4 linked regions of the Struthio camelus genome follow. The protein of the gene in region 3 purifies or fractionates together with the protein of the main gene of each other region. This does not show direct contact. Links are inferred from orthologs where the notes say so. Each region holds a gene or a part of one and is shown on either strand. Other genes may lie near its edges.

Region 1 (7,982 bases), on a different chromosome or scaffold from region 3:
GAAAGGGAAAAATTACTCTGTGGTGATGCCTATCTAGTTCCATTGACTGCAGAGGAGCTTAGGTAAGTAGTTTAGACTAGACAGTAAAATTTAGATGGCTTAAGAGTTGGGATATGTTGCAATTTACCTCTGGAGAACTTACTAGCCAAGTGTCTACGGTATGAATCAAGGTTCAGCAGCACAGGAACTGAGGGCAAGGGTACTGAAGATGAAATATAGTATTAAAGATGTCCTACAATGTTCCTTATTTCAGGTTGTGCCAGTATCCAACACAGATTATATACCACTTCCATCTCGTTGGGCCATTACCCCACATAGACTAGCCCAGAACTCAGTGTGGTCTGGCCACAACCAGTACTAGCTAAGGCTGGGGCATCCACTGTGCCAGAGCCAGTAAATGACACTAGCAAAGAGATAGTTACAGCCATGCTTCTCAGGGAAATACAAGCACATTATATAATGAGCTTTAAAATCCCATTAATGACTTCAGTGTATCAGAAAATAATTCTATTACCAAAAAATTAATGAGACATTATTGTTTCCTTCTAATTACGTGAATGCTTCAGTGAACACTTATAATCTCAATTTATATATTGTTTAAACTTTAAAACATTCATTGTTCATATGCAGGAAGATCTGCTTCCTTATTTTTCAGCTTAGCTCCCAGATCTCTTTTTTGCTGGTTTTACTTCTCCTTTTTAGGAAAAAAAAAAAAAAAAAAGGCCTAGCTTTTTTTTTTTTTTAAATTTGTCCTCTCTCCAGTTGTGTCTAAATTCAATGAGGAAAGTAGTTATTTGGTTCCTCAGTCTGACTATGAGTGAGCAACAAGTTATTACACCATAATTTCATTCTCTATTGTGTGGGAAGTCAGCATTGCATCATCCTTAGGACTGAGAACAAGAGATGAAGAGATGAAGATCCCTTCTTGGTGGGTGCGGTCCAAGATTTGGCCAAATTTCAGGTTCTTTTTGTTTTGATTAGTTTCCTCCCTCTGCTGTTCCCTCACAAGAATCTTAAGTGGAAGGGCAGAAAAAAACTCTCTTAGTCTAATGGTAGGTATTGAAATTTTCTGTTTAGGCTTTACATTTGAGAACAGGTATTTCTGTAACTCAAATTTTACAACCTAAACAATCTTTCTAAAGCTGCTTTCTTTATATCTGGAGTATTTGGGGATTGGGAATCACCAACATGTATAAGGGCACGAGAACTACAGGTCACTGAAAATATAAGGGGCAACTATAAAAACTTAAGATTCAAAATATGTTATTAGTAAAATTGTAAAACTGGTAGTATCCAAATCTCAAGCAAAAGGATACTATTTGGACAACATTATCAAATGGCTGTCTCATGAATTTATTTACTGGCAAATTGCTTATGTTCTTTTGTAATGAAACCTTGGTTATACTTGTGGAATGTAACAGCCAACTAAAGACTAATTAAATGCCTTCTTAGCGAAGTGGAAAGCAGTTATCAAACAGTCACAAAAGGAAAATCTGTATTAGTCTCTATCAAAACTGAAAGACCCAGAATTTTGAACAATACACTCTCCATGCGAAGAGCAGAGAGAACTACACTCTCTCCTCATTATGTGCGATTTTGCTAAACCCTGTGTGAGATTACAAACCTCTCATATGCTCATTTTAAGATATAGTTGTAAATTGGGGACGCTAATAAATTCTTACTTACTCAAAATAGAAGAGCTGTATAAACACAGGAATAATAATAGTTCTGTTACATATGAAAAGAACTGTTAAAGAGGGGTTATTTTAATCTATAAAGTAATGGAGATAATTTGTACCCTTAGCAGAAATACACATGGACAAATCTGACAGAGGAATTCCATGGAGAAGTAGGGAATGGAGAGTATAAGGCAATCCTTCCTTCTAATGGAAGATTTTTCTTACCTAAAAGGCCTCACTCTCTTCTGAAGACCGCTCACAAAGATCATTTGTAAAAGCAACTGATAGCATAATTTTACATTAGTAACCAAAGATTCAAATTTGCTCTTAAGTCAACATACATTTTTAAACCTTCCATTCCTTGTTTAGTCACATACTTTACACTGCTGTGTTCTTTATATTCTTTCAGCATCTCTTTTGACTTGGTACCTTCCTTTGCCTCATCAGCTCCAGTGTGGCATACATGCAACATTTTTTTGGTCATGGATGATCATATAGCCACATAATCCTGCTTAGTGTAGGCCTTTTAGAGAAAACAGCACTTGACTAAACCTTGTCTACAGCCAACATAATAAAGATGATCTACCTTATTCACATTGCTTTTATTTGTTTTGTATGCTTGTCAGTTACAAAAAGCTGACAAAAAACTGATACTCAGCCTTACTAGCCCACATTAAAGGCTCTTGAAGAACACAGGAACGCGTAAAAGCAATGAAAGGTGTGTCACTTTGGAAGATGGCTAAAGTTTATGTGCCAGGCCTACAGCAGGTGTTAACAAAAAAACAGACTGGCTTTCACCTGGCACAAATCTAGATAAGGTGCCAATATCTACTTTGAATGTTGCTGACTGCGGAAAAGACAGCTTTTATGGTGCAGACTTTTCCATCTGCTTGCACAATTTGCCGTAAGTACTGTAACTTTTCATGGCCCAGAGAAAGTGCGAACCCTTGAGTAAGTGATCTGGAACTTCTTCCCAGGGTATGGTTGCAGATCTGCTTTTACAGTGCATCAGCTTGTCACTTTCACGTTGGGTGGAAATTAAGATGTCTGATTAAAGAAATGGAGCCAAAGAAATACTAACAAAATACACCTTGCAAGAATGAGATTGAAGGACTTAGAGTGAATGCAGCCACTCCCCATAAAAAAAAAAAAAAATCCCATTCAGGAGTCTCTCTTGAGCTAACAAAAGAATCAATAAACAGTCAGGGATTTCCTGTCTGTTACCAGTTTTAATCTGGTATAATGACTATTAAGGAAAGCTATTGAAAAGCTCCTTTCTAATTTGCAGTGAAAATGAAACTTCATTTCTTAGTTCACTGCTTGGGGTAGAAATCAATTGTAGGTCCCTCAAACCTCCTAGCTGTTTAATTTCTAGCTGCCTGGGCACTGGAAATAAAGAAAAGAATTTCATTAGAGTTACCATTCTAACAGTAATTCTTTATAAAAGCAACATTACAACACGTGTGGGCAAAATAATAGATAAAAGTATGCTTTTAAAAATGACACTCGAACATACACATTTTTCCCTAAGGTTTCATCTGTTTCTGAGTTAGAAACAGTGAACTTACGTTCACTCATTATACCTAAATATGAAGGGAACTCCCCTCCCCTTTTACACATACCTAGTATTACCAAGAATTACCAGCAAGATCTTGTTCGTACCTTCCCCCATAATTTGCAGAAGAGCTAAAATGAAGTATAGAATCTCTCAGGGCCTGTCTTATTCTGTATTTATACAGAATGCATGAATGCAATTCCATAATTCAAATGTAAATACAATTGTTGAACTTTGTTTAAATATCAAAATGATGGTGTTCATTTCCATTCAGGTTACTGGCAGCATCATTCACAACTGCCACCATTAATGTTTTATTCAGGATATGCAGGAAGGCGGCTACCTCCAGTGGCATCTTTGAAAAAACAGGGTTCATGGAGTTCACCCACTTCCAATCTGTTCAAGAGAGAATTTATCTGCTTTTAATATACAATAGAGCTGAATTTTTTAATTTTTCCATCTCGTAGCAACACCCGAGCACTAATTTTTTCTTTGCATTTCCCTTGAAGACCATACTGGGGAGAGGAAGCTACCCTCTGGCTATTTGGAGCTGCAGTAAAAACCTTACATATGCTCCAACTTACTCTAGAGAAGGGGACAACCATTTAGCAAAGTCCAGCAAATTCTTCAGTCCTGATCAGGGTAATATACACTGCTTTCTAAGATATCCCTAAAAGAGCTTACGCTGAATTGGTACATGTACCTGGCATCGCACAAAAATACTAGGCAAGACTGGAAAACAGTATGTTTTCCAGGAGGAAGCTATGTTCACACAGCACCCAGCATCCTAGTCTGCTTTTCAAAAGGCCTACTAGCTCAACGGTAATATCACACTGTTTTCGTTTCTAGCATTAGTTTGTCCGTTGCTAACTGAAGGCTATCTCTTCACGTCAACTTGCTCCACGATGTTTTCTGCCTTACTTGACATCTTATCTCCTCCTACATAGCACAGCACAGACCACGATAGCTGGTTGAAAAATCAGGCCTAAACTAGGAAAGGTCTCTCAGTGGGACACTTCCAGCAACTCGTCCTCGTATCAGCACAGCTCCCACTATCAGAAAGTGTTTTAGCCAAGCTCAGCAAGTAAACAAATTATACCAGCAAAAACACCCTCAGGCCGCTATCTCTGCCAAACGCTTGACTGACATTCCCTAGCGTAGAAACGTTAAAAATCGCATTGCCAACCAAGACTCCTAAGCGGTAGCATTTCCCAACACAGACCTCCAGCCGCACGCCTAAAACAAGTAAGAGTTTTCCACCTGCGAAACACAAGCACCCGGGCTCTCCCCGTGAGAGGCGGCACACGAGGCGACCGCCACTGCCCGCCGGTGGGGGCACCGCGCCCAGCGCCCCCCCTCTCCGACTCCCCCAACGGCCGCTAACGGCCGCCCTCAGGAGGGAGCGGGGGGGAGGGGAGGGAAGGGGCGGCGGCAGGGCCCGGCGCTGCCCCGGGGCGCGGGCCGCCGCCAAGCCGCCGGTGGCAGCGCGCAGGCGCGGGGCGCGGCGCTGTGGGCGGCTGCGCGTCGGTGGGGAGCGCCGCGTCCAATCAGCGGGCGGGGTGTGGAAGGGGAAGGCGGGGGGAAGGGTGGGGGGGAGGAACGGGGCGGCAAGGCGAGTAATGTTGTTGGGAGTCACCTGACTGCTCTCGCCGCAGTCGGGCCGCAGCCTCTGTGGCAGGAACAGCCGAGTCAGGGGGAGCGGGAGGAGGAGGAAGGCGGTGAAGGCGGCTGCCGTCCGGCCACCGGCCGGCCCGCGGGTGACGGTGTCCGCGCGGAGGGGTGGCGGCGCGGCGGAAGGTGCTGAGGTGAGAGGCGCGGGGCGGGGGGGAGAGAAGGCGCGCGCGCGGCCGCTCGGTGTCCGTTGGGACCGGCCGTTGGGCTGAAGGGGGGGGGGGCGCGAGGGAAGCACCATTCCGACGGAGGAGGGGGGGGAAGCGGAGGAGGCTGCGGCATGTTTACAGGGGCGGTGTTATTCATGTGTCCCTCTTCCCCCCCCCCCCCCACCCTCCTCCGGCGGTCGGAGTAGTGGCCGGTCCCGCGGCGGGGCAGGCGGGCGGCCGCTGTCGGAGGCTGGGTCCCGCGGTGGGGAGGACGTCAGGCCGGAGCAGGGCGGGGGGGGAGCCGAGCGGCGGCGGCGGCGTCCTGCCTGCGTCGGGCACCGGGCGGCGGCCTTGCCCCTCCCCCCTTCCCCGCTCCCTAGTGTCATGTCTTCGGGTATTTTACACCCCCCCCCCCCCCGAAGTCCGACTTGGCGCTGCGCCAGATGCCTCTGTGCTTTGGGCACGAGCTTTTAGTCGTTATTCAGCGTCTCCTGCGGGTTTCAGTGGGTGCCCAAGTGCCCGTGCGCTCCGGTAACACAGGCGTGACTCTCCCAGTCTGCGCTCGCCAGCCTTGTGTGAAAGGGGCAACTCTACAGCGCTGGAAATCCCAGCGGTGACTGTGTTTTGCTTAGGTGAAACACGCATCATATGTGTTTGGAAGGCTGGGAAAGATTTATTTTAGACTATAAACAAAGAGATATAAATCCTGTCTGTCTTGTTCTGTACTGTGAAATCCTTGGCATGCTTTGGAAATGTTGAAAATGAAGTAATTAGAAAAGCAGGTGATGATGCATTTACATCACATTCTGTTTACATTCTCCATTTTTAGTATGTTAATACCACAGTAATCCTAAATACATGCACAACCGGGACCTCAGAAACACGTGTTGAATATATAGTTAAAAAAAAAAAAAGGAAGGTAAACATTGCAGCAATCAAAGATAACTATATACATATAATATGTATACGATCCTATAGTAATTCTTGCAAGAGGTCTTAATTTGAGGCACATCAGATAGGTGCATGGAAAATGTTTGATTGTAGTAGTGGAGTATTTGTAATACAGCAGGAAGAAACACTGTAAATTAAGGTTACACAGCACAATGAATGCTCTAGTAATATAGTCTTTTATCGCAGAATATTACACCATACTGAAGAGAAAACAAATGAGAATCACCCAACCAAGCATAGTGAGTCCAAATTAAAGCTGCTTAGATAATCCAAATTTTGTTTTATGGCTTATGAGCTTAACTTTAAAGGTGATTCAATCAGCATAGTTCCTCTTGTACTCCCTTACATATGTGAGTGAAGCTGTGTGTGTAATAGCACATAGTAAGACCCCAAAAATAGTAGATTTACAGAGAGAAACTGTTGTTGCTGAAAACAGACTATCCGCGTTGTATGTGCTTTTGGAAGGCTTTACTTCAGGTTAGCTCTAATGGATCACTTAGTATTTGTACTTCCTTAGATGTACTTCTGGAGTACGTTTTCCAGTTTCTTTTTATCCACAGAGAACCTGTTTTGTTCTAGTCCAAGACCATCCTGTGAAGTGAATAGAATTATAGTAAGTAGGATGTTTGGGGGAAACGTGCTTTAGAAATGCTCTTCTGATTGACTGAAACTCTAATACAGAAGTTCACATAGCATCTACTGTCAATATTTTATGTTGAGAGTGAGTCTGTATGTGTGTATATATATATAAAGTAATTTTGAGTATAAATTGTGTATTTTATACTCAAAAATGTGCAAGATCTTGGAGTAATAAATATTGATTTGCTTAATAGGTTCTAAAATCCTTGTACTAAACATATTTTGATCAGTAGTAATCTTAATAAAGTAGAAAATATATGGATTTGATTATGTCTGTGAAAGTCAGCACATTAATCTGTCATTACTTTCTGCTATTAGAATTGTCTCATATTAAAAACTATACCCTTTGCATTCATTTAGATGTAGCACTATCATTGGGCGTAGACTAAAAATGTCTGTGGGGGTAGAATAGAGGTTGCCTCATATATCAGGTGTGTGAGTCCCAGATAACTTTGCCCTATAGCTTTAGGAAAATATAACTCAAGAGTCTTTATTCTCCCCCCTCTCGTTTCTATAAAATGAGAAGCGCTCTGATAAACTCCTCATAGGTTTCCTGGTAGTCGTAGACCTGTCTTTCTCAATGCACTGGGCATGTTGGTGTGAGAGGGAGGCATGGTAGATTGGTCAAAGGATTTAGGTATATGTGAGTGCTGACATTTTAGTTGTCAGAGTTCTACTGCTGAAAGGTTCATGACGAAGTTTTAGGGACTGAAATATCCTATGTGGTATTTATCTTTATAGCATGAGTGCTGTAAAGGGTTAACTTAGGGTTATATGCAACCCTAAGTTAAGCTATAGTTAATGTTAGTTGATGTCTATCCACTTCTGCGAAATCTCAAGTAAGCGGAAAAATAGCTGCTGAAGCAGCTATTAAGTTGTGTGAATTCAGCCTGGTATGACCTAAGTACCAATAATACATTAGGACCCCTCTGCAGCTCCCCCTTTCCCTTCAGCTCAGAGATTAACAAGTTGAGGGGACGGAGGAAATCACAGAAAGGCTCATCTTGCTGGAATAAATCATAAGCTGTATCACAAAAGTTATCTTCATCTCCAGCAGTGTTCTGTGTTTTTCAGTTAAGACCTTATATGAAAGGAAATCTTGGTGAACAGTAGTTGGTCTAAATGTGAGTTTGCAGGTCAGAGTAAAGCTCAACTGACTGTCAGCTACTGAAGCTTTAAAAAGAAGGGCAAATTGACTTTGGAAACATTAGTGAAGTACATTGGAGAGAAGAGGCAGCCAAAACGCCTTTAGATGAGAGCACGGATCTCAAAGAATGTTCAGGTAGTTATTAGAATCATGTGGAGATAACGAGTTTGAGTTGCTTCTTTTAACTCTCA
Region 2 (7,581 bases), on a different chromosome or scaffold from region 3:
TGTTAATTTTGTCCAGGACTACCTTGTATTCTGGAATTGTGCAATTCAGTTAGCAATGATGAGCTTTGCTGTTGTGCAGGGTGCTCAGGGAAGTACGTGTACTGAGGTAGAGAATTAAGCTGCTTTACTGTGGTTTCAGTTTAACATAATTTTCCTTTATGACTCAACGAGAAATGTGTCTCATGACTGTTTGCAGAGGCTGACCAGAGCTGACCACATTGACCATGGGAGGAACAGGATTCTCTCCATCCTCCTGAAGCCTTGGCTGTCAGGAATCCAAATCCAAGCACCTGCTGTTCCCACCCGCTAGCCAGCCAACACTATAGTGTTTTGAGAGTCGTCTTTGTCTCACGAGAAATACATTCAACTTACGTTTCTCTTTGCTGTCCTTCTGCCCGTCTATGCATTGTTAACCCAGGTGTATTAAAACAATATTTGTTTACTAATTAATCGGACCCATGCTCAAATAGGGGGACGCCTCACACAAAAGCAAAGCTTTTGTACCAGAGCAGTCCCATTCCTTTAGGAGGATCCTATACTGAAAAGGAACTAGGTTTTGGTGCTTTGTGTAGTTAAGCCTACAGGGACTCCTCTGTTCTCTACAACAGAAGAAAAGGATATAACAAAGCACAGATGCTGTCAGTGAAAAGAAAACAAAAGCGAAAGCCAGTGCAAGCTGTGATATCACTGATGCACTGATTATAATAATAAAAAAACATGGAAGCTGAAATAAACTAGGTCTATTTATTTCAAAATATTTACTGTGTCATCAAAAGTGCAAGTTAAGGCAATACTACTGCCTTGTCAAATATGTTTTTGACACAACAGTTACAAGTATATACATAATAGTAGCAGCTCTGGGCAGATTTTTAAACTCAAGAAGTTCTTCCAGTGAAAAAACAGCAGCGAAATCAAGTTACAGGAGAATCATCCAGGAGTCACAGACCTTTACAAGAAGTAAGGGAAGTTAAACAAACAGACAAACTCTACTCATACATTTTATATATAACTCTATTAATATACAAAACTGAAATGCTCTGTTCCTAAAACTGTAGTCAGATAGGTACACATATCAGTGCCCAGCAGTTCTACTTAAGCAGCAAGTTTAAGTCCTTCCTGCTAGCTCTAGCTTGAGCCGAAGTTACGGTATGTGGGTTCTCTAAGAGGCCTGAGCTGTTCGAGGAGGCCTAAACTGAAATAACTTTTACAGCTTTTCTTCAGGAAACACTTCTCAAAATAGATGCTCTACACAAGGCAAAGTTGTTTGCTAAGGTGTGAGAAAGGAAGTCAGCTAATTTGATAGGTCCTCAAAAGACTCCCTAATCCAGCAGTTAAGGTGTATTTTGTAAATTGTGTAATGCTACTGCCCTTCCTTTCATGGTTGCAGGTAGTCAAGAGAGTCTGAGAGAAACAGCAACCCAAACCACTGAGGTCAATGGACTGCTGCTTTCTGTGTGTAGCTAAATAGGTAGTACAGAAGTTGGTCTGACCCAAGAGCCTTTCCAGAAACTTGACATTTAGACTCACCGAACAGCTCATGAGAAGACTGGTTTCTTCCTCCATTCCGCTGGTAACAGTAAACTCTGGATTGTGAAAGCACCTGTGACTGTGCTCTGTTATAGTGTTTTCTAGAACTGACCGGAGCTTCTCTTCTGTCATATCCTGAGATAAATTGGGTTAAAAGAAATCTTAGACTTAAGTTGCTCCGTAGCTTAAAACTGCCTCCTCTTGTTCAGAAGGAGGCTGACCTCGCAATAGACAGAGGATGTTAATTACACTTCATCCACAACATAGCTTACCTGTGTACTGATGTATAATCCACACTGGCAAAAAACCAAGTGATTCCGCACGGTCAGGTTATTCCTAAGAAGACAGCAGACACTGAGCATCTTCACAACAACAACTAGAACAAAGGCAGACCTTAGCAAGAGTTGTTAGATTTTTGGAGCTCGTTGCTCAGTTTTCTATTTTGTTGAAATACCCACAAACAGGAGCCTGTGTTTGCCTGTTGCTTTTGTTAGCGCCTGTTTCTAAGCCCAAACTTTTTATGTGCGGGAGGAGGGTGGAGAATCAATCCCTCTTTGTGCTAATTATGGCTAGGTTGATTGCAGCACCAAGGTTCCTCACAGAATACTTTGTTCCATGAATGGCACAGAAGAGAAATTCTGTGCTATCACCTTGCAGCTGAAATTCAGCCTTAACTTACACAATGATCTTGTTGTAACTCCCTTCAGAGTGCTCTAGACAGAGGCGGCTGCACGAAAAGACCCAAATATCTTGCACAGAACAACAGGAAAGAAGCCAGCGTTCATTAAGAGAACAATATCTAGAGTAGCACAGCTTTTGAGTGCTGCTCAGACCTGCAAGACTACGGAGTAGAGAAGCCCTGGGAGGCTTCTGTCACGCATCTCGTTCCAGCGCCAAGAGCGTTCTTACTTTCTACACACGGGGCAGATGATCTTGTCACCGGCATCCAAGCCATCAAGCATCGCATTGAGACATTCTTCATCAAACTGAAGACTTCGCTCATATTCTTCTATAAGCAACTGTTCTGCAATCAAGGAACAGAACACCCTCGGGCATCTGTTATGAGCTCAAGATGCTACAGAAACATGCATGAAGTTGCTTGGTGGACAGTCTGTGACAGCCACTACTTCTGAACGTGTCTATCTTATCTTTGGATCGCATTTCTACACTTGGAGGAATGATTCCTGTTAATCTAGTTTTTCCTATGGCTCAATCCTTAGGCGGTCTCAACTGTGCAAATATAACACACTTCAACCAGCAACCTAGAAATACTTTGCATTGATTTATACATGCTCCTACAGCTCCCAAACGTCACAGTGCTGTCTCCTGACTCTATTAGCTTCTCACAGACCCTAAAGCGCCATTCAAACTTACAACTGTCACAAAGGGCTCAGTGCCCTAGAGAGGCCACAGATACTTCCAAAGAGGCTCTTCTTGAAACTCCCATGGTCTACAAGAACTAAGGAGTTCAGTCTCACCCCCGTTTGGATTACTAGAAAGTCAGAAATATTACGATTTAAACTGAAGTCTGAAAAAGCGTTTTGAGAAATTACCTTGCAACACCAATTCATGTTGGATTTCTTCCAGCACTGCTAGTTCGTCAGGATCCTCTAGCATCTGAAAGGTGCATCAGTCAGTAATTCTCCCATTCTGCCTACATTCTCCCTTATTTTCCAGCGCCTGACTAAGCTGTCAGTGTAATGTAAGTTCACTCCTTACTTGTCTATCTGTCACATCTCTGCATTTGCAAAAACATGCACTGTAGAAAGCAACATACACGATACTAATCTGTGCAAAAATATTCATAAGGGATGGGATCACAGGCTGCCCAAGAATCTGCCTTTTAAAACGTTAGAGTCTTTTTACCATTTCTTGGAAGTGAAAGCAGTCAGTGACACGAGCGCTCTGAAAACCACAGCTGTGGAAATCCCCCCTCTGCTGCGATTCATGCCCAGCTTGTGCTGGAAATAAGGAAGTTCCCCGCTCCTGGGCCCGAAGGCCACCGCTCTCACAGCTGTTTCACGACATCCCGCACTAGCTGCCGAAGCTCGAAACCCAGAAGGTCTGAGCTGGGCCAACTCCAAGCAGAGGAGGCTGGAGCTCACCGGGGAAGAAAGCAGCTACAGCGGCAGAGCGGTGCACCCGATGTGCCCACCTCCGACGGGCGACATCCCGAGGCGAGGAGCCCGAAGGCGGCGGCAGTACCGACCTGTGCCAAGGGCTGCTCGCCGCGCAGGGAGGGCAGGCTGCCGGGCGCGGAGCGCAGGGCCTGCCACTCCTGCTCCATCACCTCCTGCACCAGCTGCGCGCCCAGGGCCGAGGCGCCGACGCGCTGCCCGGCCTGCCGGTACCGGTCCAGCAGCTTCGCCCGGCTGTTGCGCAGCCTCTCCACGCAGCGCTGCGGAGACAACACGGGCCCGTCAGTGACGCGCGGGGGGGGGGGGGGGGGGGCTGCTACAGCACTGGCGGAGCGGAGCGGCTGTAGCGGCAGTCGGCGCCCGCCCGGTAACGGCGCCCAGGCCCAGCCCACGCCGCCCGCTCCCGCAGCGCCTCGCTGCGCGCCCGGAGGCCGCCAGACGGCTCCCCCTCTCCCCCGGCGCGGCGGCCCCGCTCACCCGGCGGTAGGTCTCCTTCCAGGGCGGCGCCGCCGGCCCCTTGTACAGGGCGCGGTGCCGCCGCAGCGGCGCCTCCATGGCCGCCCGCCGCCGCCGCCACCCCCGCCACCCCGCCCCGCCTCGCCCGCCGCCGCGCCGCGGGCATGCCGGGAGCCGCCGTCACCCCGCCCCGGGGCACGCTGGGAGATGCAGTCCGGGCCGACGCGAGCCGATGGGAGCCGCTGATTGGCTGCGAGGGCGGGGCGGGCGGGCGGGGGAGGAGGCGGCGCGGCGCGGCGCGATGGCGGCCGAGTGGGGCCCGGCGGAGCAGTGGCGCGCGGCGCTGCCGCAGCACGCGGTGCTCTGCCGCCTCCGCGAGCGCAGCGCCGCCGCCGCCGCCGCCCCGCGGCCGCCGCTCATCCGCAACCTGCTCTTCGGCCTCGACGGCGACCTCTTCCTCTGGGACGGCGAGAGCAGCGCCCTGCACACCATCGGCCTCCGCCGCCTCGGCGGCCCCGAGCCCGCGGGGCTGGGCCGCTACCAGGTGGGGAGAGCCGTTAGCGGGGGGGGAGGGGAACCGTTATGGGGGGGGGGATCTGGGGCCGTTAGCGGGGGGGAGGGGGGACCGTTATCGGGTGAGGGGCGTCTGGGGCCGTTAGCTGGGGGGGGAGGAGTGGGGGACCGTTATGGGGCGGGGGGGGCTGGGGCGGTTGGCGGGTAGGGACGACATGGATCGGGGGAACGTGGGGTCCTTACCGGCCGGGGCCGGGGGGGTCGTTACCGGGAGGGGCTGGACCGGGACCGGGGGGAGGATGGAGATCGTTACCGGGAGAGGCCGGAGATGGGGACGGGATCGTCACCGGGACGTGGGGGATCGTTACCGGGAGAGGCCGGGACCGAGGGAGGAGATGGGGACGGCGATGGGTACCGGGAGGGGCCGTGGGGCAGCGAGCAGGGCCCCGTGGGGCCGGCGTGCGCTGGGCAGCGGCAGGGCCGGGCTGCGGGGCCGGGGCCGGGCTCAGCGGCGAGGGGCGGCCGAGGGCCCTGTTGCCGCCTGGGCGGGGGGGCCCCCTGGCCCCGCTTGCCGCCCTCCCGGCTCGCACTTGCCCCCTGTCACCGAGCCGCTGCCGCGTGCAGGACTGGGGGTAAAACCATCAGCCGAGGAGCACGCGTGGGTCGGCGTGGTGGCGGCTTCCCCGTGGCCGTGCAGCCGCTGTGTCCGTCGCGGCTGGGCTGGAGGAGTTAAGTGACGTGTGGCTGCAGAAGTACTTCTCAACGTGGGGCCCTCGCTCAGGGAAACGGATGGATTTTTTGTATGATGGTGTGGCTTGAAACAAGCTTTATTTATCACCCCATGGCCTGTGCATAAATCGCCGTGCAAACTGGATACTAAATCCTGAACGCTGTACTTCCATGAGCGTTTCTGATGGCTTGCGTTTAACTGTAACACTTTTATTTTCAGACTCTTCTCTGCATAAATCCCCCCCTTTTTGAGGTCTATCAAACACTGTTAAGCCCCACGCAGCATCATGTGGCGCTCATTGGTACTAAAGGGCTCATGGTACTGGAACTGCCTAAACGCTGGGGGAAGAATTCTGAATTTGAAGGTGGGAAATCAACAGTCAACTGCAGGTGGGTAAGACCTGAGGTGGTTCATGATATCCTGTCTTGCTGTTTGTTCCATGAGAGCCTCTGTTCTCGTCTGGCTAGATAGGAAAGGCATTGGTTGTATCAGGGTTGTAGAGACAATCACAAACGCGGTTATTTTGGCTCGGGGTTTGCTGTTTGGTTGTTGCTTGTTGCAACAAAGCTTGTTGCAATTGCAGAGGAACAAGGTATTCTTCTGTATTTTTCACTAACCATTTGGATCTTTTAGCATTGGCAGGTAAAAGCACGTTTTCAGGTGGAAATGGCAAAGGGCTACATATTAAAGCTGTCCCTTCAGCCTTAAGAATTATACAGCCAATGCCTTTGAAACATTTTAAATGGGTTTCCCCTTCTTCTTGCCCCTACTTTCCCCTGGAAGTAGTAACTCATTCTGTTTTTGTTTTTGGGAGGGATGTGTGGTTCTTTCGCTGTTGTTTTTTGGTAACATTGCACGCTTCTGCTCTGTATTACAGTACTATTCCTATTGCGGAAAGGTTCTTCACAAGTTCAACATCTCTGACTTTAAAGCATGCTGCCTGGTATCCCTGTGAGACATTAGAGCCCCATATTGTGCTGTTGACTTCAGATAACACCATAAGGTAAAACCTGTTTATAACTGATCATCAACTTTTTTTTGTAGTAGCCAGTCTGATTTTTCACTGGATCTTTTTGCATCACCATTCTCACCGGGTTTACCAAAAAAACGTAGACTGGGAAAAATTTTAGGCTGATAACTACTGATGTTTCTGTATCAGCAGGGACGCGTGCAACGCTGACAACTGAATTAACATTGTTCCTATCTCTTTTCTCCAGGATTTACAGTCTAAAGGTGCCTCAGACACCCATCAAAGTGATTGCTCTCTCAGACGCTGAAGAGGAGACTTTAATAATAAATAAAGGGTTTGTGTGGCTTCTTGTTTTTGAAATGTATCAAATGTGTTTTTAATTGAATGAGTGGTAAATCCACTAGAAAATCTTCTCATGTCTTATTGGTGCGCTAGCTGCACCTTTTTTTACCCCACGTTTATTTAAAAAAAAAAAAAAAAGGAGGAACAAGCTGTACAGTCTAGTGTTTGCTGGCATTTGAAAAATACACATTACACATCATCCTTAACATGTGGTTAAAAAGGGCTTTCTGAGAGAGGAATGCAGAAAATAATTGTCCTTCTCTTTTCTCCTTGGCCTAACTGAAAAGGAGAAACTCGAGGATCTTGGCTAGTCAAGCCATAGACTGATATATTACACAGGAAATACCGGTACGTCCCCTTGTATCCTGAGAAGTTGGACTGGCTGGTGAGCGTATTTCAGAAATGCGGCACAGGAAGAAAGATGTTACCTGCAGGCTTTTGCTGCTGAACATAGGACATCAAAGAACTGATTGTCAGCTGTTTAGCAGTAGTTTGTCTGACAGCACATACTGATGGACCTAGATAAATAACCTGTGTTCTCCCAGTCATTGCTGACTTCAGGTTTTGTTTCGACTTGTCCCAGGAGGGCCTACACAGCATCGCTTGGAGAAACTGCAGTGGCGTTTGACTTTGGCCCACTGGTGCCACTCCCAAAGAACATAGTTGGACAGCGAGGGAGCGAAGAAGTGTTGGCCTATCCTCTGTACATTTTATATGAAAATGGGGAGACATTCCTCACATATATCAGTCTGATACAGAGGTAGGCCTCACACTCATCCTTACGTTTCATGTGGTGGTTGTATGTTTGTGCAATGCTTGGATTTCAGAGCCATCTCTCAGCCTGGCTCGGGTTCTGGAATGGATGCTAGGCTGGCTTTACGATATTGCAAACTGTTCTGTCTTCT
Region 3 (7,203 bases):
TTCACATTCCCGCCCTTCCAAATCTTAACTGCTTCAAAAATTTTTTCCAAGAGACTTGACTTACAAATTAAGTACAGAAAAAACAGTAAAGTTCTCTGCTATTATTATTATTATTTTTTAAAAGACAATTATTCTTCACAAGGAGAAAAAAAAAGAGGGTCTCAGAGTTGCAGTTTCTACTTTGGGTGGCCTTGTAGTCTTGTCTTTCTCACAAACTCTGAATTCAGAGTTTGTGAACTTATTAAGTACATCCAAAGTCTAGATGTCTAAAGACATCATCTAAACATGGGCCAGAAAGCTTCTGCAAACATCCGATTCAGCCAAGGCAAGCTCAGATACTACATCACTTTCAGTATGCTCTCCCCGCTGCCAAACTGACCTGTGACTTTTCTGGTGGCTCAGCTATTTCCCCTAGTAACACGTCACACAGGACCTAATCTGGTATCACATGGCCTTGAATCTCCTCAGCTTCTGCCTGAAACATAAATAATGTTTATTTGGATACAAGCATTAGTTCCCTAGCCTTCACATAATTTTTTTTACATGTATATGTGTGTGTATATATATATATATACACGTGTACACACAAACATATATATTTTTATATATATATATATATATATATTTTTAAAAACACAACAAAACACAAAGTGAAGGCTGAGGGACAGGAATATCCACAGCCTGCCTAGAACTTGTAAGGCTATTGAGAATCATAGTTACGAGTACAGTAGAAATAGGTGTAGCTATAGTCTATTTACTGAAGTTTATTTATTGACTTGCACACTACTAGAAATTTTCCTTTGGGATTACTACAAAAAATTAATCTTGGCATTAATTAAGTTCGGCATTTCTAGGTTGAACATTGATTTATTGGCTTAGTTTAGACAATTTTTCTTTTTGGTGATTCTCCACTAATGAAGAAGTGCCTGTTCAACTTGGAAATACATCACATCATCGGTCAGGATTTGGTATTAATCGTGTGAAATGTATTCCTTTTTGGGGCTGTGGTCTCAAAAGCAGTCTCAGCTAAAGAAATAAACGTGATAGGGAACAAGTAACTTCCTGAGAAGGTATTATTCTTAAGTGGCATTATGAACTACTTCATAGACGCTGCAGTTTCATAATTTCACATAGCATTGTGGAGCTAGTAGTTCAGCTCAGACTAGACATTCAATACAAGAGAATAAGCTCCCATCCTGAAAATATATATAAAAATTAATAAAAGTAGTCTATGAATGGGCTCTTGGTTGAAAGAGCTACCTCCTACTTAAACCGACCAACTCCTTAAACTTTTGTAGACGCTAACTGAACAGTCTTTGAAGCAGCATGAAGTTTTATTTAAGGGTAGGCTTTAACATATTGTCAGCACAGGAAACATTACATACAAAGCTGTCATCTACAACGCAATCAAAAATTACATAAGCTGTAGAGAATAAGTTGTCTGATAAGGTTGCTCTGTTAAAATTTGGACAATCACATAGAAAAACTCCAGAAATAAAGCTTTATTAAGCCAGTACTGTAATTATCCATCAACTTCGGAAGACAAATCTTTGAATGCTTTTACCAACAAAGACAAGCTGTAGCATAATAAAAAGTAGAAAGAAACTGAGGAATGCACAGGTAACTTGAATAACTACTCATTTTAATAAACATCTTATTTTATGTTGACATTCATAGCTTATAGAACTATTCCATAGCCATTTTCTAGACATTTACTTTTGCAGACGATGTCTCACAGGTCATCACCCCGTCCATTATTATCCCATACACGCTATGGCTGTATACTTCTTCATGTACTCACTCAGCTCATTTCTACTACAGGTTTTTACTAAAGCTGTGGAGAACTTATCCTAGGAGGTTCTACCAGAAGCTTCTTAGAGCCTTTAGATAAAAAACAAACACTAGTTGAGAGGCTTATATTTCACATGCCAGAAGTGAACACAACTACCCGGGCAGATGATTTAAAACAATAATTGATATAGAAATAATACATGTTGATAAAGGAACACAGATCTTACTATGTCTCTTCACTTTGCAGTTCATTTTTATAATTTCTGTTTTAATAACGCAACAGCCAAGAATCAAAGGGCTTACTTTTGTAAAGCTAGTCTATTAATGCCAATCCTTTTGCAACCTGCTACAGTTTAGAGCATAAGAAATTGGCCTAGCAAAGTTAATACTAATGTTACAAATTAAACTCTACATATTCAGCTGAAGAATCCCTTGAATACTCTAGTGTACTCTGCAGGAATACCAAGGAAAACATCTACCTTTCAGAAGACCCGTTGTAGTATTCCCAGATATTTGCTGCACTTCCATCTTGCAAAAAAGAAGCAGAACCAGAAGATATCGGTTTAGTTTCTCAAAGACAACTGCAAACTTAGTCTTTCAGTTCATGAGAGAAATAAAGGCAACTCTAAAAGACTCTGGTTTTGTTAGCAAAAGTCAGCATTTCTTAGAGGATAGACTTTTGTAAAGCCTCATGCTGAACATGCATAAAAGCACTCACTTTTTTAAAAAGCTGTTCAAAAGGGCTCAAGCATAAGCTTTTTCCCCTTCTTGGCCATAGTCTAGCTCCGCAACATCTCCAAGCTCCACGGACACCCCAAGTTTCCTTTGGGTACTGTAACGAAGACAGAGCATTCTACAAACAAAAGGCATCACTTCTATACAGGAGTTTCACTGGCAATGCATAGCTGTTTCAAAAAAATCAAAAGAAAAAAAACTTTACCTCCAACTAGGTTTGGACAACTGCAGTATTTGTTACTAGAAAGATAATGAAATACTTCACAGTATTTTCCTCCTCTTAGGAGGCAGAGATTTTTACAAGTCTCCTATACACATCATTTTTCAAGCAAGGAGCTAGGTTTTGAATTAGCTATACAGAACTTGAGTACCTGTACTGAACGTAAATTCTCATAGAGCACTTCTGCAGATAACTGTGTTACAGATGGAAGGTCTAACAAGACCCTGTTTTTCCGTGTTAAAGTTACTAAGCAAATTCTTTCACTCCTTCACATGACAATGAGACTCACGACCCCAGCTTGTTCAGTTTGAGCCACCCCTAAAAATTGAGCCTAGGTCCTCAGGTCATCCCTGTTCACCAGCTCTGGTGGACAAGCGTTTCTGCTATGTTTCTCTTACTGCTAGGTGAGTCAGCCTTGCCTGAACCACAGTCTGAGATGCATCTTTGAGAGACTGTGGGGGATACAGTTATTGCAGCAAGCCGGATACCCTATAAATATAGGCACAACGGGGTGGGGGAGGGGGGGGAGACCGCGCTTCAGAGCTGCACGGACCTTGGTGCAGGGAACGCGGGGAGGTACACAGCAGCCCTCAACCTCCACTGCCTACCCGGATAGCCTTTTAGCCTCCCGCAGCCTAGGGACACCGCAGCAGGGCCCAACGCCTCAGCATCCACCTGGCTGAGCCGGCCCCAGCTAGGGCGCCCGGAGGGGCAAGGCCCGCCATCGCCACCCGGCCCCTCGTCACCGGCGCCCTCTCGGTCCAGCCTGCCCTCCCGCCGAAACAACGCCTCAGCGCTAACGGGGCACCGGCGGGCGGCTCGAGCCGCCCCCAAACCGGCCGAGAGCCCCTTCTCCCTCAGGGACGAGCGCTCCCCGCCAGCGGCGCGAGCCCGCCCCCCTCAACCGCCGCCGCTCATCCACACGCCGCGCCGCGCCGCCCCTCCCCCCACGGCGCGCGCACCCTTCGCCAGCGCAGCCCTAAGAGCCGCCCTCAGAACAGCACGTCACACCGAGCCACCAGCCAATCGGAGCGCAGCAACACCTGTGCCCGCGGTTTAAGAACTACGAGGCGGGCCGGCGACTGAGTGACACCTCGGCTCGGCCTGTCAGCGAGCAGCGGCCCGCCTCCGCCCCCCCCCTCCCGCGCGCAAAGCGCTGCTGGAGAGGGGGCGGATCCCCTCTATCTTCCCCCCCACCCCGCCCGCTTCTCGCTCCCTCCACCCCTCGGAGGCGCGCAGCGGATAGACAGGCCCTCCGCCCAATGAGAGCGGAGGCCGCTTGCGCGGCGGCAGCGCCCGGGACCAATGGGAACGCCCGCTGGGCGGAGGCCTGAGGTTTCCAAACGCTCCGCGGCGCCATGGGCTGAAAACTAAACCGAGATGGAATCTCCCAGTCTGAACCGGTTTGAGCCGGTTCCGAGTCTGTGGCTTTAGGAGGGGGAGACGCGCCGCGCTCAGTCCCTGCTACCACCGCTGCCTCCGCCGCCGTGTGTGTGACCTGCTCATAGGGGAGCCCGCAGGGGGAGCCGCCGACACAGCTGGGGGGGCAAAGTTTAGTGCGAGCTTGGGGGGGGGGTGGGAATGGGGGTGAACTGAGCGGCGGCCAGGCCTGAGGGAGGGCGGCCGCAGCGGCGGGAGTAGCGAGAGCCTGGGGAGGCGAGAGAGCCGGCCGCACGGGCCGAGGCCTGGGGAGCCAGCGGCTTAACGAGGAGAGAGCCAGGGCCCAGGCGAGCCGCAGCTCGGGCAGCCGGGGCCACGAGGAAGGCGAGAGTCCCCCGGGGGGCCTCGGGAAGCCGGAGCCCCGCGCGGACCCCTCCCCCGGGAAAGAGGAGAGGGGAGCGCTCGCCGCTTGCTGCGCGCCCGGCGGCGGGCGGCCTTGCTGCGGGGCGGAGAGGCAGGAGGGAGCCCCGCGGGGAGCGGGGGCGCCGGCCCGGGGGCCGCAGCCTTGGGCTGAGCGCGCAGCGTAGTCAGGCCAGGACACGCTTGCTCGAGGGCAGTGTGGGGCGGAAAGGAGTGACGCTAATAATAAATACTCCGCAGGGAGAAGGGTGCGCGTGTATTTCTCCCTCCTTCCCCCACCCACCCCCCCGCTTCCCTCCTCGGGCTTTTTTGGGGGGGGTTTATTTTTCGATTTTTTTTTTTATTATTTTCATTTTTTTCGGCGCGTGGTTAGAAACTTCGCTCACCCACCCCTACTTTTTGAAGGAAGAGGCTGTAAGAAACACCTAGGTAAGTAACTGCTAAGGGCGCGAGACGGGGGTGTTGTAAGGCGTGGGGCGGGGGGGGGGGGGAAGAGAGCTCGGGAGGAGGAAGGTGTGGGGCCGTGAGCCGTAAAGGCGGGGGAAGTGGGAGGGCTACGGCCGGGTGTGCGTGGAGGGCGCGAAGTCTTGGCTGAGGCAAGAGAGAGGCGCAATGGGCCCTGACCAGAAACGGAGGGGGCGGGGGAGGTATAAATCGGGTCTGGGGTACAAGCATCCTAGGCCTTACGGTGCCTGCCGAGGAGCCGGAGAGGGAGCCGAGCCTACCACTGATGCTGGGGCCGTGGGGAGAGCGGCGGCGGGGGGTGCGGGAGCCGCCGCCGGGGCGCACGGGCCCGGCTGCCGACGGGGAGGGGGTGGGGGGGGAGGCCTCCGAGTCGGTGTGAGGGGCCGAGGGGGAGGGAAGGGGGATTGGGATCGGGCACGGGGAAAAACTAGGGACATAATCTGTAAATTATTAGGAGTGGAAGTTTCCAGAAATATTTTTTGTGTGTCTGTGCAGCAGTATTGAAACGTCCGCCTGGATCACGTGGGGGCCCTGTATAGAACGCAGGGCTGGGGCGGAGGGAGGGAGGGGGGAGGGAGGGGCCGCGCTGCGGCGGCCCCGCCGCGCTCCGCAGGGCCCCGGCCCGCCCGCCGCGGCCCGGGGGCGCCGAGCCCGGCCCCGCGCTGGGCACGGGAGGCCCCGGCGCCGGGCGGGCGTGAGGTATTTTGGGGCGCTCTGTTGGGATGCAGCTGTACTAAGGAGGAATGCCCCGGGATCGCCGGCGGATGCTTTGTCAGGCAGCGTGGATTTAATCTTGCACATGAGCCCGCGCCGGTAAAGTAGCGGGGGGGAGAAGCAATCGTTTCATTAGGGTTTCTGGTGTGTTGTGTGTAATGCAAACGCCTTCGTGGCGTGCTCTCTGTTTCTGCTTGTGCAGCTGGAAAAATAGACGAGTGTGATGCAAATAACTCGTTGGAATGGAAGAGGATAGCGGGGTGGTAATTCGCTTGCATTTAGCAATGGAATTACGTGTTTAGGATGGAGCTGAGCGACTTCCCTAGTGTGTGTGTGCACGTGTGGTGGATTTTGTTATTGCTGTTTTTGTTTTGATTAGTTGCTGCCCCCAGTCAGCTTTCTCTAGCTGCCTTACTTTGTAAATGGTTGCATGTGCTCTAGGGACCGTTGTGAATACTCCGAAGTATTTCCTTTTCCTTTTTAAAATGTGTATTTTCATTCTGATGTGCTACATACTCAAGTGGTTCAGGTAGACCATAATAAGATAATTGTGGCCTTAAACTTAAGGTCCAGGGTCACTTAGAGTTGGGATAACTATGTAAACAGCATTCTGTAAATGCAGTTCTTCTGACCTTCGATAGGTGTCAGATTCTTGCTGTGTTCAGAATTTTTTTTTTTAACTTCTCGTTTGGCTTTTGTTGCCCCACTTACTAGTAGTGTTGAACTGATTTGTAGCCGGGCCTGGAACTGGCAGTTAAAACGGTTCAGGTTTAGGCGTGATGGGAAAAGTGTAGGAGCAGAATAAATCAGAGGTTATAAACTTAATGTGGGTACCCTATAAGGAGTAGGAAATCGAGCTGATTGCAGCTGGTATTGACCACAAAGCCACCATTTCTGTATTTCAGTTTGCAAGTAGGTAGGTCATTTTGAAGATAATGCTGGGAGTGGCAAAGGACCCTATTCAGAACATTTCCTTTTGGCTTCCATGGGGTTGCTAACTTCTCTTAGTCACCCGGCTGTTGGATTGCGTCCTTAGCGCTGCATAAAAACAACTGAAACGGGCTTAAATCCAGAATGAATGGTGCTACCTGAAGAACATCTAATTTTAAACGTTTATTGTAGTTGAAAACGTCATTCCCAGCTCACGGTTGAGCCATGGAAACGGTATGTGAGGAGAAAGGGACATGCCTAGGAGTCTGTGTGTCTGGTGGGAGTATTAACTGCTCTAAGCTGAAGAGTATATTGATTGGTTGGCTTTCTTTTCAGTAGTACTGCTTACTGCCCGTTTACAAGATGAAGTTTTTAAGAGTCTTTCTGAGTTAGCAGAACTTTATTCCTTTTTTTTGTCTTGCTTCCATACATAACGTTATGATCTTGAAAACTTGAGTGGGGAGGGCAGATGTGTAATGTTATGGTTTAACTTATTTCAGTTTTTACTTGATGTTTACCTGGAAGGATAGAACAAAATATTATAAAAA
Region 4 (7,928 bases), on a different chromosome or scaffold from region 3:
GGGGACGATGGTGTCTGTGAGCATGCTGTAGGTACCTTGCTGTGGGTGAAGTCATGGGGCTATTGCATAATTGTCCCTAGTGCCCTCTGCCTGCAGTGACTTTGGAACTTGATCTGTCGGCAACAGCGAGCCATTGGCACTGCAGCCATGTTTGGTACTGACAGATCTGAGCCGGCATCAAGCGCAACAAGCTATATGACAACGCAATTTGGCACCTGCCACTAGAAAAGTTTGTTGGTGCTGGCCTGGCTGTGGTAATGTAACAAACAGAGTACTAAAGTGGCCATGACTTTTCCACCCCAGGCTCACCAAAATCCATTTCCAAACTAATAGCAGCTTGGGAGAAGCTGGGCTGAGCAACAGGTGGTTTTACCTCTTATGTCCAAGTTGCTTCTAATTGGATGTTTAATCATGGCATTAGAAGTCTGACTCTAAATCTATACCAAACACCTTCGTAACATGGCTTGAAACTGAGATACCACCCTGTTTTCTAATATGTTGATCCCACTTATGTGTCAGACGTAGTCAGCAGTTAATTCTGGCCTTCTGAGTTTGAGCTGTGTTACTCATTGCTGGGGAGAATTTCCCAAGGGCCTGTGGACGTGGAGTGTGAGTGTTGCCACTGTTGAAGCAGAAAATGGGCTTGCTTGGCTCAGGGGTGTTAGACAAGGCTTGCCCTTGCAGTGGCTGTACCCAAACCCTTTGGTGGCATCCTCCTTCTCTGGAATGTAGCTGTGGTTCTGCCCTAGCCCAGCCCCGTGGTCCAAATGAGGACTGTAAGAGGATTTGTAAGAGGTAGATTGTAAGAGGATTTGCTTACTCCTTTGCAGGCTGCTTCGTGAGCAGGACCTAGCGGTACCTGCAATTCAGGCCCAATGAGGGAACTGGGCTTTGTTTTGCCTGGGCTACTTAGTCCTGAGCCACTTTGTGGACAAAGTACAAACTCACTCATGTGCTCACTTGTGTTCAGCTTAGCCAAAGGCCTACAGTGGCAGAGCTGCAGGCCAGGAAGATCCTGAGATTTAATGAATATGTGGAAGTAACAGATGCTCAAGACTATGACCGGCGAGCGGATAAGCCATGGACAAAGCTAACACCAGCTGACAAGGTAACAGGGAGTGTCCTGTCCCCAGGTCTGGGGAGGAGAGCTAGACTGGAGTGTTGCATGCAAAAAAGGGTATGAGCAAAGGAGACTTGCTCTGTTCTTCTTGCTTCACCTCTGCACCTTTCCCTTTGCTGTGCCACCCCACCAAGCACCAGCAGTATCCCATCACCCGCATGCACTGTACCCAGCCCCGCTTCCTGCTCCCTCCACAGCAACGTGGAGCCCAAACAGTGTGGCCTGCCTCTCAGTTCCCAAATGATACAAGAATAGAAGGCATGGGGTGTTGGTCAGAGGAGTGCAGTTCCTCACAGGCTGAGGCAGGCCCAGGCAAGAAGGTGGCAGGGAAGATCCCCTGTTCTTATCACACCCCAGCCACCTGCCCAGCCCTCAGCGTAGCAGTGGTAGGGCAGATTAAACTCAGTCTAGCGTGGGCTGACTTGAGGAAGCTGGGGAGGCTGCTGCACTCTGAGCTCCTCTGTCTACTGAAAGGATCTGGGGGACTCAGCCCTGCCTGTCAAAACTGCGGTCACCCTTCACTTCACCGCTGAAAGGTGGCGTGGAACAGCCCTGAGCAGGTGTAGAAGTACAGCATCTTCTTACCCCATCTAAGCTCACTTGAGATGGGTGCTTTAGTGGGAGGTAAAAAGATCTCTCCCTCTTTGTGCAGGCTGCCATCCGGAAGGAACTGAATGAATTTAAGAGCTGTGAAATGGAAGTCCACGAGGACAGCAAGCAGTTCACGCGGTGAGTGAGAATACATTACTCGCTCACTGTACATGGGCTCAGAGTTCCTGCTGTTCTTGTTGGGAGCGCAACAAGACCAAGTGCTGCTGCGGTAGTGCTGAGAGGCCAACCTTTAAAACCTTAGAAAAATGACCAGTGCAATAGTTGCAGGTTTCATGCCCCTTTCTACCTTGGGGTGTTGCTGGGTGACTGGAAGAGTGATGTGAAGTAGGTGATGGTTTCTCCCTGAAATGGGGCTCTGATACAGTAGTCTCAGAAGTGACCAGAGGTGGTCTGAGGTGTAGATGAAGCCACTGTGATCCACTGGGAGCCACTGTAGCTGGAGTGTGCTGTTCTGGGACTGGAGATGGGCAGCAGAATCCACAGCCTTAGGCATTTTGCTTTCCCTCTCAGCTTTGCCTCCTGGAAAATGGGGTTAGCATTAGACCGCTCTTTGTAGGATGCTCTGAGGTCTACTGCAGCTGGCAGGTGTCTGTCACCAAACACCTTGGTAGTTAGCTCTGGTATATCCGCAAAGTAACTAGTGGATCATGGCCCAAGTGATTCTTTTTTTTACCCTGAAAGTTGCCCTGTGCGGCTAAGGTGAGTGTGTTTGTGGCTCAGAGGAGCTTTCTAAGGTGGGGTGAAATCCTATGATGTTAACAGCTTAACTGAGGGCTGAGAGTTCAGATGTAACTCACTTTACTCTTGTTGTCCATCTGTAACACTTCAGCAACCATTTACCCCAAGTTCCAAGGGTGACACTTGGCTTTTTCACTGGGCGTTTAGGTACCATCGACCGTAATCTTCCGGGAGGGAGCAAGAGATCCGAGAGGACTGAAAGTTCTCAGCATCCATCTCCTGGCAATTCAGTGAGGGTGAACCTCAACTCTTCCACGATTTGCCTTCAAAACACCTAGAAAAGGGCTCTCGGGGGCAAAGGGGGGTGTCCTGTCTGAATGTAGCATTTCACTGGAACAAACACGTCTCGAGTGCCATCAGGCTGGAACTGAACACTATACCTCGCACGGCTCAGCAATATGCCTCTCCTGGCACCAGCATCCCTGCCGGGAGACCACGCACATGTGAATGAACAGTTCCTTCCCCAGCTCCCTTTCTCAACTGTGCCAGGCCCAGTTCTCAGCTGTACATACTCCTTATGATTGGAACTTCTTAGTTTTCCTTCTCCTTACCAAGGAGAGGGGGGAAAAAAAAACCCGGCAGCTCTGGTGTTTGAGAGCTGAGGAATGGAGAAGCGGATGTGCCAGGAAGCACGTGTGTATATTAGCTGTGTACAGAAACCCTGCACAGATGCTGACCTGGCAGACAACTGACATGTGACTCTCTTCTTTTTTTTTTTTTGGTTTTGCTTGTCTCTGTAATGTACGTAATGTCCTGAATCACTACTGACCAATGGTTTTGTTGTCCTGGAAGGGAATTGTATAGATATTAACATATGCTGCATCTTTTGTTTAAAAAAAAACAAAAACAAAAACCCCCACACACAACAAAAAAAAACCCTTAAATGTATAAAAACATTCCCTCTCCACTCTCTCACACTTGCTCTGATGTTAACAGATCTTGCCTTGAGATACTTAGGCTTGTTTAACAAATTACAGAGCCAGGAACTTAAAACATTGTAGAAAGGCAACAGTCAATTTGGGGAAGCTGTGATAGTAGTTAGTTCTTTTTATTGTGGCTTCCTCTGTATTTTTTTTGTTTTAATTCTCACAGATCAGGGTGCAACTTGCCTTTTCTCTCTTTTTTTTTTTTTAAAACAGCAAAACCTACTGGAAACTTGATAACTTCACTGTGTGGGTGGAAGGTGGGGGGGGGGGAGAAGAGGTTTAAAAAGTGACCTTAAAACAGCTCTTCGTTCTCTTTGGAGAATGATTTCTTGTCGGTTCTTCCTGAGTGTTTGGATTTTTAATTCTGGTGCGCAAAGCCTAGCCCTGCGGCTGCGATGCCACCAGCCCTGAAGGAAGGGGAGAGGGGAGGCGGCGCAGCGGGGCGGGAGGACTCGCCTTGTTCACAGACCGCTCGACCGCAGGGTGAGGGGCCGCCGCAGGCCGGGCCTGGGCACCGCTCTGCGCCCACTCCCTGGGGCCTGCTGTGCCGAGAGCTGCTGCGCCGGGGTCCCCCTGCCCTCGCCCGGACCGTCGGCACCGCTCGCTGCGGCTCCCGGGCGAGGCCGAGCCGAGGGCGGCCCGCGCGGCCTTGTCCCCTGCTGCCGCCATGCTGGGCAGCGGGTGCGTCCTCCTTCATGGCTTCCCCCCCTCCCCCCAGTATGGCTGTGGACTAAATCATTGCATTGTTGTATATCCTTCTCCTCCTCAACAGATTTTAATTATTGAATAAAAGTATTTTAGGATTTGTTTTTTAAAAAGACTGATTTTTATGGCTTCATGGTGTGAGGAGGGGGAGAGCTGCGTTTCAAAGGGACTTTCTGGGAAGGGACTGGGCAAGGGGAGGGAATGCTCGGACTCCTCTTCCTCTCCGCAGCGGCTGGCGATGCCAGCTTTAGGGGGAAATACAAAAAACCGGGACGTTTGCTGCGGGTTCGGCCTTTTGCGCCCTCCCGCCGCGCACGCGCCGTCCCCCCACCCTTTCCCGGCGCCCTCCCGCCGCGCACGCGCCGTCCCCCCACCCTTTCCCGGCGCTCTCCCACTGCGCATGCGCGGTCCCCCCGCCCCTTTCCGGCGCCCTCCCGCTACGCACGCGCTGTCCCCCGCCCCGTCCCGGCGCCTTCCCACTGCGCACGCGCTGTTAGCTCCTTTCCCTTTTCCCGCGCTCTCTCCCTGCGCACGCGCGGCCCTTCCCGGCCCCTCCCCCACACTGCGCACGCGCCGGACCAGCTGCCCAATCGAAACCTGCAGCTGCGCAGTCTCCTCGCGCTGCTGCCGGCGGCGCATGCGCGGAACGCTAGCCCCGCCCCGCCCCGCCCTATAAATTCCGCGGCGCGGAGCTCCTCGGTCTCTTTGTGGGCGGCGAGCGGAGAGGGCGGAGGTGAGGTGTCGCCGCGGGGGTAGGGGGCAGCGGGGGCGCCCTGGGCTCCGGGGTTGAGGGTGGCTGCGGCGCTCTGGAGCTAAACCCAACGTGGATATCCGGAGAAGTAGCTCTCTCTCGGCTCTGTCCGTGTGGCGCGGGGGAGCGTAGGCCTTCGGGCCTGTGACGTACAGTCCCTTTCCACAACGTTGGAGAAGAAGCCGGGCCTCGGGTCTGCAGCCTGCATATTCCTACTGCTTCTCCGAGTCCTCGGACTGTGACGGAGGAGATAAACCATGCAGGAGACAAATACTGTAACTCGGGGATAGCTTTGCGCTGGGGTTGGGCAGCCGCTGCGCGTGCTTTGGGGAGAAGTGCGAATGAGGTCTAATTTGCAAGCGGTTACTTAAAATATTGTTTTCTTTATTTCAGTTGTAAGCTTGAGAAGCTTGAAGTGAATGGGGCGTTGATTTTTCAAGGTAATGTTGCACTAGTAATGTAATATTGTTCCGTGTTTGTAGTTATGCCGCTCTCTTAATAGTTTGTTCTCTAAAGAAGCTTGAACTATACTCCTTTAGCTGGCTTACGCAAAATGAATTGGGTCAACAGCTTGAGGTAATTGAATACCATTATAGACTTGGTAGGCACTATTTAAGAGCGAAAACTTAGCTTTAGATATTTCCCCACTTCTGAGATGTCACAAGACTTTAGATGGATTGGGGGGGAAAGAGAGGTTAACTTCTGAATCTTAAGGAAAAAAATAGAAAAAAATTCGTTTCTGAAGTATGGTTGAATTGTACTTGTGGATTTAGTGAGCTTGGGGCAATCGCCCATGTGCTCATGTTAATCAGTCCTAGAGCAGACTTTAACATCATCTGTGAAGAACAACGTGGATCATTGATCTGGGTACTGGAGCATTGGGATTACATTGAAAGAAGCCACGGGCCACAATTACTTAGGACTGGGAGCATGTGACTGTCCTGTACTTGATACCTGGTACTTGTACCTGATAATGGTGTATTTAATGGATGAGCAGAATGGATTAACAGAATAGATAGAGGTCCCTTGAAAAAATATATGCTAGTATCGTAGCACCCTGTGTGCCCCTTACAGAAGGGGGAGAACAAAAGTGCTTCCTGGCAGATCATAAACAGCAAAAAACCCATGTGACTTGCCAAGTTTTAAGATTCTTTTTTTTTTGTTGTTGAATTTTTTTAACATTGCAGACCCTGACTGAGTGTGAGATGCTAACAGCAGAAAGTAACCTGTCTGCCTAGTGGGATGGTGAGTATGCTCAGAGCACCTCTACCAACCAGAAAATAGAGGAAGTAGATGAGGTCCAATTCATGCAAAGTGTTGAATCAAAATGAGACCGCAGACACTGGAGTAGGCTGGAAGGAGAAGATGTCTGTATTTGGCTATCTAATAGCATGTGCTCATTCTGGGGGCCTGCTGTTTTCTGCTGTATCAGAAGAAAAGGCCCTGGTGGTTGCATGGCATGCTAACTGTTGAATGTTGCACAGTGAAGCAGGGCCTGCTCAGCAGGGCTGACCCTGCACGGCTTAGCCACGCTCTGAGGAACATAGTGGAGAAAGCCTGTAGGAACAAAGGGCCGTGGTGCACAGCACCTGAAATCAGTGTGCCAGTGCACGTTGTCTACACAAGCTAGGAGAATGCTTGTTAAATGTTTGGATAACCTGTCTGTGGTGCTTAACCTGAAATGGAGCCAGAGAAATGAAGCAAGCCATTGTGAATCTTTCTGGTTGTAGGTGAGATGAATTGTTTGGTGCTGGGGAAGAAGGCAAAAGAGTGTGAGTATGGCGTGAAAGTCATATATAGCTTGTGTTAATGTCTGTTCAGGAAGTTTTGAATTACTTCTGTGAATGTCCTGGAGGTTTGTGATGCTATGCCTGACAAATAAAGAAATTACTTTGAAATGGTGTTGTATGGCTGTTTTTTCTGGCATGACTGTTGGCCATTTGTTCATTCCTTGAAGCTCAGGACCCATGACTAAACTTCTAGGGTTTCATAGCTAATGTAGCAGGGTTGTCCTTCGGAAGATCTTTAGAGTCTGCCCAGCGTCATCTCCAGTGATGCCTGCTTTTGAGCTAGGAAGGTCATAGCAGCAGCATGATTATCACTAAATATACTGGTGAGGATACCGATAAATATATGGTATTTTGTATCCTTTACAACCACCAGAGTTCCCTGGTCTGTAGGGTTTGGTGGGGGAGGAGGGTGTGGAGTGCCTTTGCTTTAAGTTCCAAATATCCTTCATACTTTGGGAGATATTTTCTCCCTGCAATTAAGTCAAAGGCTTTAGAGGCTTTTTTTATTCCTGTTGAACCTATGAACCCCTTTGGAACTTTTAACTTAAATGTCAGCAGCTTTGCTTCATAGCTGCAATGTTCCCCACCTGGTCAGTGGAGCATGTATCTACCCCTGGGTGTTGAACATAAGGATGAGTTACACGAGAAACCTGTTTCACAGTCTGAAACAGTGGAATGGGCACAAAGAGCAGAGGGGTGTTTGTCCTGACAAACTTCTAAACAGGAAAAGGGCCTTGAAGGACAAAATACTGAAGGTTGCTGTGGGAGGAGACCTGAAGGGAGCGTGCACAGTCGAGGAACGTGGTAAGAGCGAGCGTGTGGTCGTGAGCTGTAAGTCCAGCTCTGCAGAGCAGTCTGAGAACAGCACAGCTGCCTTGTAAAGTCTGCCTGGAGTTGGCCTAGAGGTGCCACTCATGGGTTAAATAGCTCATGGGCTATTTAACTTGGGAGAATGCCCTTTCTCCTTGCTCTGAGAGTCGATGAACCTTGCTTGAACCGGATGGTGAGGCTGGTGAATGCCTGTGGGGGAGGGTTGGAGGAGCAGTTGTCTGTCTTGGGTACCTGGTTTGAAACTTGCTGGCTCATGGGTTGAATGCTGAGGGTGTATGGGGGTAGTGGGGCTGTCTGCTTGCTCTCTGGAGCTTGAGCTGATCCTGGCAAGACTTGAGGTTGCGCCTGGCTTGGAACTGTGCTGAAGTGGTTGCAGATCACCTCATGGCATGTAAATTTTTCATGGGGGAAAGGGCAAATGCAAATAGATGTGCTTTCTTCTTGACATGCACTTT

What was found.
Region 1: the proteins of XPO1 (region 3) and BACH1 purify together in Homo sapiens (affinity purification with western blotting; 3 studies listed by BioGRID, with this or other methods). This does not show direct contact. The link is inferred for Struthio camelus from reciprocal best matches to the Homo sapiens genes XPO1 and BACH1.
Region 2: the proteins of XPO1 (region 3) and NUP88 purify together in Homo sapiens (affinity purification with mass spectrometry; 3 studies listed by BioGRID and IntAct, with this or other methods). This does not show direct contact. The link is inferred for Struthio camelus from reciprocal best matches to the Homo sapiens genes XPO1 and NUP88.
Region 4: the proteins of XPO1 (region 3) and RCC1 purify together in Homo sapiens (affinity purification with mass spectrometry; 3 studies listed by BioGRID and IntAct, with this or other methods). This does not show direct contact. The link is inferred for Struthio camelus from reciprocal best matches to the Homo sapiens genes XPO1 and RCC1.

What each region holds. Positions count from the first base shown.
Region 1 is NC_090942.1:118,932,507-118,940,488, forward strand, and holds the start of BACH1 (transcription regulator protein BACH1), read left to right. Parts: upstream 1-4,801; 5' UTR 4,802-5,039; intron 5,040-6,565; exon of another isoform or gene 6,566-6,618; intron 6,619-7,982. UniProt on the Homo sapiens protein: Transcriptional regulator that acts as a repressor or activator, depending on the context. Binds to NF-E2 DNA binding sites. Plays important roles in coordinating transcription activation and repression by MAFK.
Region 2 is NC_090957.1:13,530,984-13,538,564, forward strand, and holds the start of NUP88 (nuclear pore complex protein Nup88), read left to right. Parts: upstream 1-4,400; 5' UTR 4,401-4,422; coding exon 4,423-4,665; intron 4,666-5,583; coding exon 5,584-5,753; intron 5,754-6,241; coding exon 6,242-6,367; intron 6,368-6,581; coding exon 6,582-6,668; intron 6,669-7,259; coding exon 7,260-7,436; intron 7,437-7,581. Other genes in the region: RPAIN (RPA-interacting protein), read right to left, coding at 917-946, 1,528-1,662, 1,800-1,863, 2,437-2,551, 3,081-3,144, 3,737-3,925, 4,143-4,220. UniProt on the Homo sapiens protein: Component of nuclear pore complex.
Region 3 is NC_090944.1:131,248,619-131,255,821, forward strand, and holds the start of XPO1 (exportin-1), read left to right. Parts: upstream 1-4,083; 5' UTR 4,084-4,235; intron 4,236-4,303; exon of another isoform or gene 4,304-4,951; 5' UTR 4,952-4,975; intron 4,976-5,647; exon of another isoform or gene 5,648-5,824; intron 5,825-7,203. UniProt on the Homo sapiens protein: Mediates the nuclear export of cellular proteins (cargos) bearing a leucine-rich nuclear export signal (NES) and of RNAs.
Region 4 is NC_090964.1:6,353,164-6,361,091, reverse strand, and holds the start of RCC1 (regulator of chromosome condensation), read left to right. Parts: upstream 1-4,747; 5' UTR 4,748-4,834; intron 4,835-4,919; exon of another isoform or gene 4,920-5,124; intron 5,125-5,245; 5' UTR 5,246-5,292; intron 5,293-6,039; 5' UTR 6,040-6,097; intron 6,098-7,928. Other genes in the region: PHACTR4 (phosphatase and actin regulator 4), read left to right, coding at 971-1,108, 1,773-1,849, 2,618-2,633. UniProt on the Homo sapiens protein: Guanine-nucleotide releasing factor that promotes the exchange of Ran-bound GDP by GTP, and thereby plays an important role in RAN-mediated functions in nuclear import and mitosis.